2 linked regions of the Stegostoma tigrinum genome follow. The protein of the gene in region 1 interacts with the protein of each later gene in a pairwise test. Links are inferred from orthologs where the notes say so. Each region holds a gene or a part of one and is shown in the gene's direction. Other genes may lie near its edges.

Region 1 (7,665 bases):
AGCTTTTGTGCTCCTGAGATGCTGCTTGGCCTGCTGTGTTCGTCCAGCCTCACATTTTATTATCTTGGAATCTCCAGCATCTGCAGTTCCCATTATCTCTGATACCATCTTTCATATTACACAGTTCCTAATTAAAATGTGAAATGTCTATCTAGCAAAGCAATTAAACTATTTTTACATGCTCTATTTGGGTTATCTTGGAGATCAACAATAGTTTTCAGTTTCTCTTCTCCACTACCAGCCATGTCCATAAACTGATTTATCCATTCCTAAATGAGAGTCGGCCTTTAGCTCTATTATTAAGAACATTCATTCAATTGCTTCTCTACGCAAAGCCTACTCTAGATTCCTCTGCCCTAGCCTTCTAGTTTTCTCTAATTCCTCTCCTGTCTGCCAGTTTTCCCTTTACAAGCTCATCCATGGGACTTCCTTGAACCCATTCCAACTAATCTGTAGATCATTCAAAATCCCATTTGGATCCCACATGATGCCTGATATTGTAACATTTCTTGATTATTGTTACCTACTGAACTCATGCCCATCTCCACCATACATTCCCTAAATTCTCCAACCAGTCCACTACATCAAACCTATTGATTGTTCTCCATCAGGTTTTTCCCCCTTATCACAGAACCAAAATGTCCCTCAAAAATGTAATTTGAGACTGCTACATTATTTACCACCCCTTTGCAAAAAGAACCTAAGTCTTTGACCACATTGTCTTCATTCACCGCATATCCTTTTCATCTTTCCTGCAACTTGGATTGTGCTTCCTCTCCATCCAAGGACCTTCTGACCTCTGCACCAGTAACATCAGGGCACACTCCTCCCCCTAAAACAATCCCGAGTCTTCATTTACGTTAAGCCCCTTAACTATGACTATGCTTCACTGGTTAACCTCACTGTAAACTCAACTCAGCCAGGTATCTACTACGCAGTTTCCTTCCCACTCTGGACATCGCGCTTCTCAAAGCCTTGGATTGATTTATTAAGCCCTTCATGGTGTCATCCTATTGTTGTAACCTCCACCAAATCATTCCTTCCTCCCCCTCTTCTTCCCATCAATTTATCGTTATGACTTCGTTTTCTATTGTTTATAAAACCTTCCTATAAACTAACCTCTGTCCAAACTGCTGACCACCCCTTCTTAACGTCTCATCTGACCAGTTAACATCCGAGTATCTCCGTGAAGCCGCTCCAAGATGTTTGTCGATGATACAAGCACGACACAAATGCAAGTTGTTATTAGAACATGGAAGACAAAACTTCCCTCCTTCGCTGCCTACCGATTAAAATGTGAAATCAGAGATTTGTTTTGGGCAAAAGTTACAGCCGGGACAGGTCGGCCAATCCAAGCTAATGAGGAAATATTAGCAGGAAATGTTAGACTCAGATGTGACCTCGCACCTCAGCAAATGAAAGCCAGACAACTTTCAAAAACCACAGCCTGTTCCTCCCAGGAGTCAGCCGCCACCGACTTACTGACCAGGCCCGTTTGACGGATCGCGTCTGAGATTTCAGACCGGGGTCGCCTCGGACAAACGCCCAGTGTGGAGGAATGGGTGGGGCGCGTGAGCCGTCACTCACACCGGCCTCCCAATCAGCGAGCAGAATGCGGGGCACGTGTTAGTCCCCCATCGTCCCATGTCATTCACCACGTGATTCCCCGCGTTAGGCTACCAGATAACCCCGCCCCCCATCCTCCACGCGTGGACTGTCTTCCTTTCAAAAACAGATTTTCGGTTTGTTTTCCCGCCGGTTGGATCAGACCCTCGAGGACCGGCTGGTGGGCGTCTGGGAGCACTGGCTGCTCCCCCGGCGGAATATGACCTCCCTCAGCAGCACCATCTACAGGCTGCCAGCATCGCATGGTGTTGCGAGGAAGCTTTGTGGATGAATGGGATCCTTGATTTGCTCCAGCGGAATATTCCAATTTGGTTCGGGGGCAATGAGTTTAAAGAGTTCTGCAGCTAGGTATTATCTAATACTGAGTGACATCAGAGTAGTTGATCTTTGACACCATTGGTGAACAGCCATTTTCTAATAAATTCTATACGTAAGAGCGTTATCACACAGTCTTGCTGGGCTCAAATCTGGATTTTTGAAGGCAATCGTATGCGATCCTTATTGAATATGTGAAACAGGGTCGAAGGTTGTTCTTGACAGATGCAGTGATACCATTGTACAGCAATTGCAGAATTGTTTTGGAGTTTCTTGGGCATTCAAATTTTCATGCCCTCACGATTTATTGAATCAATACTTTTATCAAGTTAATTATTACAACGAGTTCATAATGATTCTTAGCATTTTCCTTGAATTTGTCTGGCACCCTATCCATCACCTTCAAAAATCATCCTTGATGAACAGTGGCAGTAATGTGTGCCATCTACAAGATGCACTGCCATAGTCCACCAAGGGTTCTCTTAACAGCACCTTTCAAAACCATAAACTCAATGATTTAGAAAAGTGGTAGCAGATATGTGGAAGCAACAGTTGCTGCAAGTTGCCGCCAACCAACGCACTATCCTCACTTCAAAATATAGCACCATTCTTTCACTGTAACTGAGTAAATATTATGGATCTCCCTAACAGCATTTTGGTGTCCCAAAACTGGAAGGGCTGCAGAGATTCAAGAAGACAGTTAGTTATCCAGCAGAATGAATGATGTGCAATAAATGCTGGCCTAGCCAGCAATGCCCACATCCAATGAATGAAGATAAAAAAGAATTCAAACAAAAATGGCCTAGACACAGAGCCTGCATAGCTGAAAACTAACTCCCCAGCAAGTCATGTTCTTTCAACACTCAAACATTCCAGGGGAGCACAAAACTCTAAAAGGATACCCCAAAGCTGCCCTTGAAGTACAGTATCATGGTTCCACATGTTTAGAATGACAACACATTGTCCATCAAGCTGCATGATAGTTTGATTCACAAAGAGGCAGTGTGGCACCTGAGATGAAAAGCAAAGGAGCTGATCGGTACTCTGGATTCCATGATCTCATGGGACTCCTGCCCATGCAACCGAATATCTCTGTGTACCAATCTCTCTGTCACATGAAGATCCTGGCTGAAATTCACAATTGTACTTCATCCTTTATTCAAACGGTATCTGATGACATGTGAAGAAAAGTCATGATTTTGAAAGTTCTCTCTTTTTAATCGCTCTGTAGATGCTACCAGACCTTGAGTGTTCCCAGCATTTTCTGGTTTGTACTGAGTATTCCAGTTAAATCATAACCTGTAATTACATAGCACCTGCAACACAATAAAACAAGTAAAAAGCTTTGTAGGAGTATTATAAAGTACAATCTGACACTGAACCTGATATGTTAGAGCAATTGGTCTCATTACATTCTCTCCCTTTCACCCTTTAATTTACACCCATTTACATCTCCATTTTCTTTCACTACCATTAACAACCCTTTGTCTTTTGCACTGAACCTCTATGCCAATTCTGTGACTAGAGATGTGTTTCCAGTGGAGTTCTGGAGAGCTCAGTATGGACCCACTTCTGTTTGTTGTATATATTAATGATTTGGATTTAACACGTAGAGAATATGATCAAGAAGTTTGTGGATGAAGTGAAAATTGGTAAGGTAGTAAACAGTGAGGAGTGCAGTGGTAAACTACAGGAGGATAGCAATAGCCTGGTGAGATAGGCTGTATCCTAAATGCATAGCTGTGTGCATGCACAGCCTGTTCTCCAAATCATGTCTACTTTCTCCAAACAAAAACACTCATGCTAACACAAAGAATAACAGACTCTGCAAAGATGAGGTATTTAAAAAAGAAACAAAATTTTAAAAATCTGTCTGGAAACAAACAAGAGGATAAAAAAAGTATTGTCAATAAAATGGAAATGCTGACAGCCGAAGACTGATCGAAGGTTTTCAGGTTGGAATAAAATCAAGCAGGATCAGAGTCTTTGGAAAGTGGTCAGGTCAACTTTTCATGGTTTATAAGACAATTTGAGATTTGGAAAGTGTCACATTCCCCAGATAATTGGGGAATCGGGAGTGGGGGTTCGAGAGAAAGAGCCATGTAGCTTCAGATCTCTTCCTCTTGTCAAACCTTGGTCAAACCGAACTCTAGTCCTGAAAGGGTTACTAAGGCAACCATCAGCACAGGGATGTATTTTTTCAAAGCCAGGTTTTTCAGCCATTAAGGGTCATAAACCCCATGCTGTTCTCTCCCTCTAGGCTCTGCATGTCTTTTATCCGAAGATTTCCTGTAAAGGACTGTAAAGCAGCTAAAGTACAGCACACATTAAACGGTTGGCCCATTTTCCAAGCAACCACATGGCAAAAACCCTTTTCAATCCAGAAAATATCCAAACAGTTCAACACCTTCGGGCTTTTCATGTAATCGGTACACATTTATTTGTATTCTCAACTATTACTTGCTTAAACAGATTGTAAGAGTAAGCCTAGAAATCTTAAACCAGCCAGCTTGACTTCTATGATGGAAAAAAAATTGAAATCATTATTAAGGAAATAATTGATAGTCACACGGAAACGTGGGTTAATAAGAAAGGCCAGGTTTAAGTCTCACCTGCTCCAGAGATGTGTAATAATATCTCTGTACGGACTGATTAGAAAAATAGGTACAAAGAGCCAGCACAGAGTAATCGATGCCTGGGCGTGTCCTCTTCGTCTCAGTGCCGCCGCCCCCGCCAACAGGAAGGCGACTTCAACAATGTACCGAAGCGGCAGTTCGGCTACAGAGTCGGTCAGTCGCCTGTGAAACCTGGAGCAGGACGTTCGTTTCCACGTGGAGTGGGCCCCCGGTAACGGCAAGGCATGGACTGGGAAGCCCGGAGCAGGATTCTGGCGGCAGCATGCCGTAGCCGTGGAGAAGGAAAAGTTGGACTCTCTTCAAGTTACCTTTTCATTTTATTCTAAGTTGCTGTGAATGGCGCCTATGTATTGCGATGGTACACACTTTTCAATGTATTTTATATCGAATACACGTGACAATAAATGATTCAATTCAAATTCAGTGAGCTGTAAAATAAAGCAAACATTATCTTAGGCTTTATTAATGGAGGCATGGATTACAAAAGCAAGGAGGTTATTCTGAATTTGTATACCATAATAGTTAAAACATCAGCTGGAGCACTGTACACAGTTCAAGGCTCCCACACTTTAGAAAGGATGCAAAAACATTCGACAGTGTGCGTTGGACCCTTACAGGAATGGTTCAAAGGCGGAAGATAGATTGGAGAAGTTGGGATTGCTTTCATAGAGAGGAGAAGGCTAAGAGGAGGTTTCATTGAGGGGGATTGGCAGAGTACATATGGACAAACTGCTCCCTCATACAATGATCAAAAATGAGAAGGAAATTTCTAAAAGAAGCAAATGTGATAGGAGACAAACCTTTTCACACAGCGAGTGGTTCAGATCTGAAACACCGCGCCTGGAATCGTGGTGACAGCCAGATTGATTGAGGTTTTCAAAAGTGCATATGATTTTTCAAAAAAAAATATTCAGGCCTAAGATATAATGCAGAAAAAAATGGCACCAAGTCATAATGCTCATTTAGAAAACCAGTGCTGAGATGATGGGCCAAACGGCCTCATTCTGCACCATGGCAATTTCCTCTCTGTAATAATCCAGACTAAACTCCTCTCTTTCTCTGATAACCCAGTCTAATCCCCACTCCCCGAGTCTATTAACCCAGTCTGATCCTACTCCTGTGCCCATTCAAATCCGTCGCTATTAACAAAATCTAACGTCTTTCTCTCCTGCTTTGAAATAACCCAGTATAACGCTCTCCCTGTAAATAACTCATTACAACCTATTGTCTTTGTAATAATCCAGACTAAAATTCTTCTCTCTCCCTCTGCAATAGCCCAGTATAAGCCTCTTGCTCACTCTGACCACACCGTGCACGGTCTGCAGTTGTCTGGTTTCTGTGGAGACGGCGGAAGTGTCGGGAAGGGCGGTTGCCCGGAGACGGCGTCCGTGCCTGGGGTTTGCACCCGGAGACGGACCTGGCTTTGTTCTGTTGTGCTTTGTCAGCCCTCTGGCTTTGATTTCAGATGATGGGGACACGGACTCCAATGAAAGTTTCCCGGAGAGAGCCCACCCTGCGCAGCTCACCAGGTAGGAGTGAGGGGGGAGGCAGAGTTCTATTCCCCATCTCGCCACAGTGAGACATGGAGGATGCTCCTGCACTGCGAACTCTACCCTGGGGACGTAGGGCCTCAAAGTACCTCCAGCCTCCTGTGAGGAATGTGGGCTATCCCTGGGCAGTAAAGATTCTCTGGGAGTGACGTGGGTCAAGAAACCCAACTTGGACAGCTCCTGCAAGAGGGCTGAGTGATAATCATGTCAAAGGCTGAAAACTAGTTGAGAAGAACAAAGAGGGAAAGTTTACGCTCGTCAGTCACATAGAATTTCATTTGTAACTTTGATAAAACCTGGTTTGTACGGGTGATAACCTGATTGGGAGGATTCAAACATACATTCCGCGATACGTAGGGACATATTTGATAGGTGATAACACATAGAGGACTTGTGATGAAAGCGAGGTCACTGTGATATTTTAATAATAATCTATGTAAATAAGTCCACGTGTCTCTTTGTACATATAGCAATTTCTAGCTTCTTACATTTAGAAAAAGTTATCCTTTTTAGGTTCTGACACATTACGCCATTGAAATATAGCTCATTATATTCATTCATTTAATCTATCAATATCTCCTGTAATTTCCATCATGCAAAGACCTCCCCCCCCCACCTTTGATTTGGCAAATTTGCATATGGTCATAGAATCACCAAAGAACATCATTCAGCCCACCAAGTCTCTGCTGGCTTTCTGCAGAGCAATTCAGTCAGTCCCATTCCATAATCCTGCAAGTCTACTTCTATCAAGTACCCACCCAATGACCTTTTGAAATAACTGATTATTTATGCTTCTACCATTTTCTTAGGCATCAAGTCCCAGGTAGTTTCCTCTTTGTCTTTCTAAGTTGTTCATAAATATGGTGAATTGTAACAATTTCCTCAGGTCAATAAGTAGCCTTCAATTCCATGAGCTACAACTTCAGCTAACAGTCTGTAAACAGCCTCCTCCGACAACTACAATTCCCAATCATAATTGCTATACTGTGGCAAGCACAAGGGGACATAGCTTTAAATTGAGGAGTGATAGATGGAGGACAGATGTCAGAGGCAGGTTCTTTACTCAGAGAGTAGTAAGGGCACAGAATGCCCTGCCTGCAACAATAGTAGACTCGCCAACTTTAAGGATAATTAAATGGTCATTGGTAAACATTTGGATGATAATGGAATTGTGTAGGTTAGATGGGCTTCAGATTGGTTTCACAGGTTGGCGCAACGTCGAGAATCGAAGGGCCTGTACTGCGCTGAAATGTTCTATGTTCTATTAGTGACTGTGCCTTCAGTTGCCTCAACCCCAAGCTCTAAAATTCTCTCCATTCCCTTCACCTTTCTGACTTGCTTTCCTCTTTAAACCCACTCCCTTAGAGTTTTTGATTGTCCAACATAACGCTTCCTTTGAGGTTTAGTGTCATACTTCGTTCTTCAAAATTCCTGTGACACTATTTGTAATGTTTCATTATGTTAAGGGTGCTATGTCTGCCTTGCCAATCAGATAGGACTTCCCAGGGATGGTGGTGGTGATGTCTAGAACATAATCA
Region 2 (7,794 bases), on another chromosome or scaffold:
TGCTGCGGATGTATAAGACCCTGGTCAGACTGCCATTGGAATCTTGTCAGTAGTTTTGGGTTCTGTATTTAAGGAAGGATGTGCTGGTATTGAAGGAGGTTCAGAGGAGGGTTACAAAAATGGAGCCAAGGATGAAGGGCTTGCCATATGAGGAGAAGTTGAGAACTCTAGCTCTGTATTCGGCAGAGTTTGAAAGGATCAGAGAGGATCTCATTGAAACTTAACAGAATATTGAAAATCAATAAATGTGGAGGTAGAAAAGCACAGCAGGTCAGATAGCATCAGATGAGCAGAACAGCCTTATGTTGTCTCAGCTGCTGTGCTTTTCTAGCTCCACACTTATTGACTCTAGCCTCCAGCACCTGCAGTCCTTTCTGTCTCCAAGTCCCAGAATACTGAGAGGCCTGGAAAGAATGGACATGAAGATATTTCTATTAGTAAGAGACTAGGGAACAGCTTTAGAGTGAAAGGACTACCCTTCAGAACTGAAATGAGGAGTAATTTGTTCAGCCAGAGGGTGGTGAATCTTGTGGAACTCATTGGTGCAGAAGTCTGTGGAGGCCAAATCATTGAATGTATGTAAGACATAGATTGGAATGTTCTTGATTAGCAAGAAGATAAAGGGTTATTGGAGGAGGCAGGAGAATCTGGTTAGAACATAGAACATTACAGCGCAGTACAGGCCCTTTGACCCTCGATGTTGCACCGACCTGTGAAACTAATCTGAAGCCCATCTAACCCACACTATCCGTTAAGATCCATATGTTTATCCAATGACAATTTAAATGTCCTTTAAAATTGGTGAGTCTACTACTGTTGCAGGCAGGGCATTCCACGCTCTTACAACTCTCTGAGTAAAGAACCTACCTCTGGCATCTGTCCTATATCCATCACCCCTCAGTTTAAAGCTATGTCCCGTCATGCTAGCCATCATCATCCTAGGAAAAAGACTCTCACTGTCCACCCTATCCAATCCTCTGATCATCTTGTATGTCTCTATTAAGTTGCCTCTTAACCTTCTTCTCTCTAACAAAAACAGCCTCAAGTCCCTCAACCTTTCCTCATAAGACCTTCCATCCATACCAGGCAACATTCTGGTAAATCTCCTCTGCATCCTTTCCAGTGCTTCTACATCCCTCCTATAATGCAGCAACCAGAACTGTACGCAATGCTCCAAGTACGACTGCACCAGAATTTTGTACAGCTGCAACATGACCTCATGGCTCCGAAACGCAATCCCTCTACCAATAAAACCTAACATACCGTATGCCTTCTTAACAACCCTATCAACCTGGGTGACAACTTTCAGGGATCTATGCACATGGACCCCAAGGTCTCTCTGCTCGTCCACACTACCAAAAATCTTACCATTAGTCCAGTACTCTCTATTCCTGTCACTCCTTCCAAAGTGAATCATCTCTCACTTTTCCACATTAAACCCCATTTGCCACCTCTCAGCCCAGATTTGCAGCTTATCTATGTCCCACTGTAACCCGCAACATCCTTCTGCACTATCCACAACTCCACTGACTTTAGCGTCATCCGCAAATTTACTAACCCATCCTTCTACGCCCTCATCCAGGTCATTTATAAAAATGACAAACAGCAGAGGCCCCAAAACAGATCCTTGCGGTACACCAGTAGTAACTGAACTCCAGGACGAACATTCCCCATTAACCACCACCCTCTGTCTTCTTGCAGCTAGCCAATTTCTGATCCAAACCACTAAATCACTCTCAATCCCACGACTCCACTTTTTATGCAATAGCCTATCATGGGGAACCTTATGAAACGCTTTACTAAAATCCATATACACCACATCAACTGCTTTACCCTCATCCACCTGTTTGGTCACCTTCTCAAAGAACTCAAATGGTTTGTGAGGCACGACCAACCTTCACAAAACTGTGTTGACTATCCCTAATCAAATTATTCCTTTCTAGATGATTATAAATCCTATCTCTTGTAATCCTCTCCGACACTTTACCCACAACCGAAGTAAGATTCACTGGTCTATAATTACCAGGATTGTCTCTACTCCCCTTCTTGAACAAGGGGACATTTGCTATCCTCCAGTCTTCTTGCACTATTCCTGTAGACAATGATGGTTGAGAAGCGAATCAGCTATGATCAAATTGCAGAGGAGACTCAGTGGGCTGAATGACTTAATTCTGCTCTAATATCTTATCTTATGATGTTGAAATGGATAAGGCACTTGTTTGATCACAGCTGGAGTATTGTGACATATTTGGAAGAATGTGAACTCATTGTAGAGGGTGTGGAAGCAATTAACAAGAATATTTGGGAAATGACAAATTTCAGTTATGAGGAATAGATTGAGGAGATTATCACTGTTTTTCTTGGATAGAAGAAGTTTGAGTGGAGATTTGATAGCGGTTTCCAAAATCATGACCAGGCTAAATTCAGTAGAATGGGAGAAGCTGCAAGAATGAGATGGCATAGATTTGAAGTGGTGTGTAAAAGAAGCAACAAATGATTTGAGGAATTATTTTAGGGTGAGACACACAGTGCCTGGAAATGAGGTGGAGGTAGGTTTAATTGAGGCATTCCAGTGGAAATTGTATGACCATTTGGTTCAAAATAGCATGCAAAAGTATGGGCAAAAAGGAGATTGACACCAGGTAACGATGTTCATTTGAAGAGCCACTACAGCACAATGGTCCAAATGGTCTCCTTCTGTGACATAATAATTTTGTGATACATTTGTATTCTTTAAAGAGCATTGGCAACTTCATATGAATGAAGCTACCATCACAGTAACCAAGTGTAAAAATTAAACCAATTATCTATCGAGCCAGATTTAGTTCTGGGATGTGACTTGTTCAATGCTGTCTTCAACTGGGGCAATGGCAATTGCCATTACAAAGACATGGCTGCATGGTGATCAATACTGGAAACTTCAGCTTTAAGAAGCAACAGTTAAAAGAAAAAGAAGATAAATTACTCTGAATAAGGAACAAGATTGATAAGTTAGTAAGAGAGGCGCTCAGTAACATAGAAGCATGGAAAATAGATGAAAAACTGAGCCATCATTAAATATCATGAAGGCTGATCCCAATCTCGACACCATACACACACTCCCTTCCCATACTCAATATTATTTAGGGTCTAGAAATCTATTTCTTTATCAAGTATATTTAATTACTTGGCCACCAAAGCCTACTTACAAATAGGTCCTCAAGGGCCCCACCGTCTGAATAAAGAAATTTCTCCTCCTCTCAGTTCAAAATTCTATCCTGAGGCAGTGAACCCCTTTTTCTACACTTGGTTGCCATTCTGGTCAACCCTTCAGAATTTCGTACATTTCAATTAGATTCCTTCTCATTTTTCTTGGGTCCAGTGAAGACTAGTGAACTCGAGTCTCTCTTCAAACAATATGTTGCCATCACAAGAATCTGTCTGGTGAGCCTTACTTAAATTCTCCCTCTGGCAAGCGTATATGTTATCTCTTGTTACTTATTAACAAGATCAGAACTGCACACAATACTCCAGGTGTTATCTCACACTTGCTCTATATCATGTTGATAAAATGCACTTTCTCCTGTACTTAAAGTCCTCAGTAAAGGCTAACATACCATTTACCTTCTTAACTGCTTGCTGTACCTATATGTATGCCTGCTCTCAGCGGCTGGTGTACACAGGCACCCATTTCCCTTTGTACATCAACATTTCCTAAACTGTAGGAATTCTTCTGCCATCTTATCATTGCACACGTGGTTTTGCCAGTGTGCATACACTCTAAGGTACCCATGAATACTGGAGCAACCTTGTTACGTGCATTTTTTAATTTTAGTTTAGTACCATCTCCAGCCTACCTCAGCATCACTGTATAGTGGCCTTTAGACAACTCCTACTGATATTTTTGCGCCTTGTTGCTTCTTAGTTCTGACCGATTCTACATATATTTTCCAAGGTATTGTCCTTCATTAATAACAAAAACAGAAATTGTTGAGGTTCTCAGCAGGTCTGGCTGCATTTTTTGAAGAGAAAACAGCAAACGTTTCAAGTCCAGTGATCTTTCTTCAGAACATTTGAAGAATTTCTGTTCACAGATGCTGCCAGGCCAGGACTCGCCATGCTAAAATTGCCCGTAGTGTTCAGGGATGCATAGATTAGGTGGGTTGTAGGTAGATGGGTCCGGATGGGATGCTCTGAGGGTCGGTGGACCTAAGGGCCTGTTTCAACACTGTAGGGATTCTATGATACAGTTCTTTATTCACGTTTTATTATTCTGCTGATTCCGCATTTTACTAAGCGCAAAACACCAAAACTCTCTGTCTTCTTTGCTTGTCCTTTCTGAATATATACCTTGGATGTTTGGTTCCCAGCCATTGTTACTCTGAAGCCACACCTCAGTGATAACATTTACATCATTATCTATTTATAACATTTCAGATGCGATACATGTAGGTTTCCCTTTTGAACACAGTATTTTTACATTTTTGTGCGATTGCTGTATTTGGTACGAAGCCGTTTTCAGCCGTGTCTTCCAACTTTGTTTCCTACTTTTCTATCTTTGACCTTGCCGGGCGGGGCGGGGCAAGAGAGGGTTTGGGGGCGGGGTAACGTCAGAAGGCGGCACCGGGGCAGCTCAGCCATTGATTCGCTGCTGCCTCCTCGCGCGCTGACCTTTTGGCGTTACGGGGTGGGGTGGCTGGAGCGGGTTGTTGTCATGGAAACAAATTCCGGAAACAAGAGGCGCAGTGCGGGCCTTGGAGTGGAGAGGGAAAGAATATGGCGCATTACCGGGTAAGGGAGTGGTGGGGCCCTGACCAAGGGTTTCAGTTTGAAGTGTCGACCTTCCCCTTCTCCGATGTTGTCTGTATTGTTCCAGCTTCTCACTCACAGCCTCTGTGGCATTACTGACTCCCACTCAGGAGGTAATACACCATCTTGGAATTATCTCCGAGGGCCACAGAAACGCCTGACTGTTCCGCAAAATGAAACCCCTATCATCGCCGCTTCTGCTTTATTCTATCCCCCGCCGTATTCTTGGATAGTCTGGTTGGTGCTCCGAACTTGGCCCTGTTTGCACTTCCTTGAGGAGCCAGTGCCCTCGTCAGCTTCCAGACTGGGAAACCGATTTGTGAGCAGGACCCGGGTTGGGGAGTCCTGCACTCTCCGCCTCTGTTTTTCCATGACTGCCTGGTCGTCACCCATTTCGTTCTTTCCTCCAGTCTCTTGAGCTGCTTTGTGACCACCCTGGAGCTCGTGCTTCTCTCTTAGGTGCACTTCCTGCACACATGGTCGTCTGGAATGTCAGTAGGGTCCATGGCGGACAGAAGGAGTTGAAGAGCTATCGTAGGCTTGTTAAAAGTTTTTATATCTGTTAGGGGCATAAACACGTTATTCCTCTTGTTTTCTCCAGGCTGGTGATTCCCGCAGAGAGCAATTTCGTAGATACTTAGAAAAAGGTGGCGTGCTGGATACGCTCACTAAAGGTGAGGTGCTGTTTTCATTTTTGTTCATTTGTGGGATGTAGTGTTACCGGCTGGGCTGGCATCTACTGCCCTAATTGCCCCTGAGGTGTGGTGGTGAGTTGCTTTCTTGAACTGCTGCAGACAACGTGCAGTAGGTGCATCCACAATCTTATTAGGGAGGGAGTTCCAGGTTTTGTAACTGAATGACACCGAATGATTTGTGGTCACAAGGAATCAAGGGCTACAGGGAGAGTGCAGGGAAATGGTGTTGAAATGCCCATCAGCCATGATTAAATGGTAGAGGACTCGATGGGCCGAATGGCCTTACTTCCACTCCTGTGTCTTATGGTCTAATGTCTGCTGCTGCTATTCTAGATGGTTTGGTTGTTGGTTTGGAGGTGCTGTCTAATGAATCTTGGTGAATTTCTGCAGTACATCTGCATACTTTATTGTGTTACTTTTAGATTAGATTCCCTACAGTGTGGAAACAGACCCTTCAGCCCAACAAGCCCACACTGTCCCTTGAGGCATCCCACCCAGACCCATACCCCTGTAACCCACATATCCCTGAACATTATGGACAATTTAACATGGCTGACCCACCTAGCCTGAACATCTTTGGACTGTGGGAGGAAACCCACACAGAAACGGGGCGGACGTGCAAACTCCGCACAGACAGTCGCCCGAGGCTGGAATCAAACCCGTGTCCCTGGTGTTGTGCGGCTGCAGTGCTACTACTGAGCCACCGTGCCGCCCTAATATATGAAACATCTGGGGTTTCAGAGGCACTCTGGCCAACAAAATCAAATACAGAAGCCCCAGTGGTGATATTTGGGCAGATAAACCAAATCTTGAATGCTGAAGCAGAATGTAGTTACATGTTGAAGGCAATAGGAAAGGTAGAGCATGATAGAAGCCAATATAATGGAAGGCACAGTCCTCAATTGTGTGGTATTTTAAAAAATAGGAATACAGACAAATCTGAAATGAATATGAGCACGGGTACCTGCAGTTGGGCTGCAGGAAATTAAAGACAAAGGGAGGGAGAGACCATGGAGAGATTTGAAACAAGAATGTAAATTTTATATTCCACATGTGTGTGTTAAAGAGTACAGAGATAACAGGTGCTAGGATTTGTGTAAGGATCTGAATGCTCCCAAGCTTAATGAAGGTGAGAAATGGGAAGCCAGCATGACGTATGTTAGATTAATCAAGTTTGGAGGGAACAAAATGGTACGGTTTTGATTATTGCCTGAGCTGGAACAAAATGAAGTTACAGTACTGCACATTGGTGATCTTGTAAAGCAAAAAGGTTCTGGCACCTCATCTTTGCATTTAAATATGACTCCAAGGTTATGAGTGTTTGGCTTCCTGGAAGAAGAATGTAGTTCAATGCAGAGTCCAAGGAGCAATGGCTTCAGTCTTCCTGATATTTAATGTGAACAATTAGAGCAAAAAATGCTGGACATACTTACCCATCCACCAGTCTGTATGGAGAGAGAAAGTGTTAATATTTTATCATAGTTTTCTTTTGAGACCAACAATATTTTAAAACCACCTTCGCTCCCACCCCCTGAAACTTTGTTATAAGATGAGAGATCAAGATTTCACATTTTAAAAGTTTCTTGAGAAATGTTTAAGAGCATTATTGACTAAACTCCAGAGATGACCATATCCCTTTCTATAGTTGGTCACCTATTGCACTTTTTACAAAATTGCAGTACACAGTTCTGAGTTTCAAGTGGACTCCTGTACCCCCAATTAATAATAACTTTATCTGTATTGATGTACTTTTCCCAGTTTTCAAAGTGTTTCTGAAATCCACCACCATCTGTAAAGCCTGTTCCAATGATTCTTTTTCCCTGGCCATGCCAGAACACATCTGACTCCAGAAAGTTGCAGGACATGTGTTTTTGACGAGAAACTTGTGTCTCTCCTACATCTGATAATCACAGAACCTCAAGAGGCCATCAATTCACCATGTTTACACCAGCTCTAATATCTAGTCTGGCTGAGTTATCTATTGCTTTATCTCCATATCTCTGCACTCCATTATGATCCAATGTCCTCTTGAATGCCTCAACTGAACCTCCCTCTTTCACATTCTAGGCAGTGCAGTCCATACCCTAACAACTTGCTGTGTGAACAAGTTTTGATTTTGCATCATCCTTGCTTTGTTGCATGTCCCTTTAAATCTAAGCCCCTTGTTCTTGTTTCTTTTGCAAGCAGAAATACTTTCTCCTTATCTTTTCTGTCCAACCTGCTCATGATTCTGAAAACCCCTCACTGCTTTCTGTCCAAATGAACAGTCCCAACCTCTACAATCATAGCTGAACTTCCTCATAACCTGGAA

What was found.
Region 2: the proteins of mycbpap (region 1) and c-Myc-binding protein interact in binary tests that used the Homo sapiens proteins (3 or more experiments, as listed by UniProt). The link is inferred for Stegostoma tigrinum from reciprocal best matches to the Homo sapiens genes MYCBPAP and MYCBP.

Annotation. Positions count from the first base shown.
Region 1 is NC_081375.1:37,388,659-37,396,323, reverse strand, and holds the start of mycbpap (MYCBP-associated protein), read left to right. Parts: upstream 1-4,561; 5' UTR 4,562-4,935; intron 4,936-5,852; 5' UTR 5,853-6,042; coding exon 6,043-6,106; intron 6,107-7,665. UniProt on the Homo sapiens protein: May play a role in spermatogenesis. May be involved in synaptic processes.
Region 2 is NC_081379.1:51,254,600-51,262,393, reverse strand, and holds the start of c-Myc-binding protein, read left to right. Parts: upstream 1-4,664; 5' UTR 4,665-4,755; coding exon 4,756-4,770; intron 4,771-5,389; coding exon 5,390-5,462; intron 5,463-7,794. UniProt on the Homo sapiens protein: May control the transcriptional activity of MYC. Stimulates the activation of E box-dependent transcription by MYC.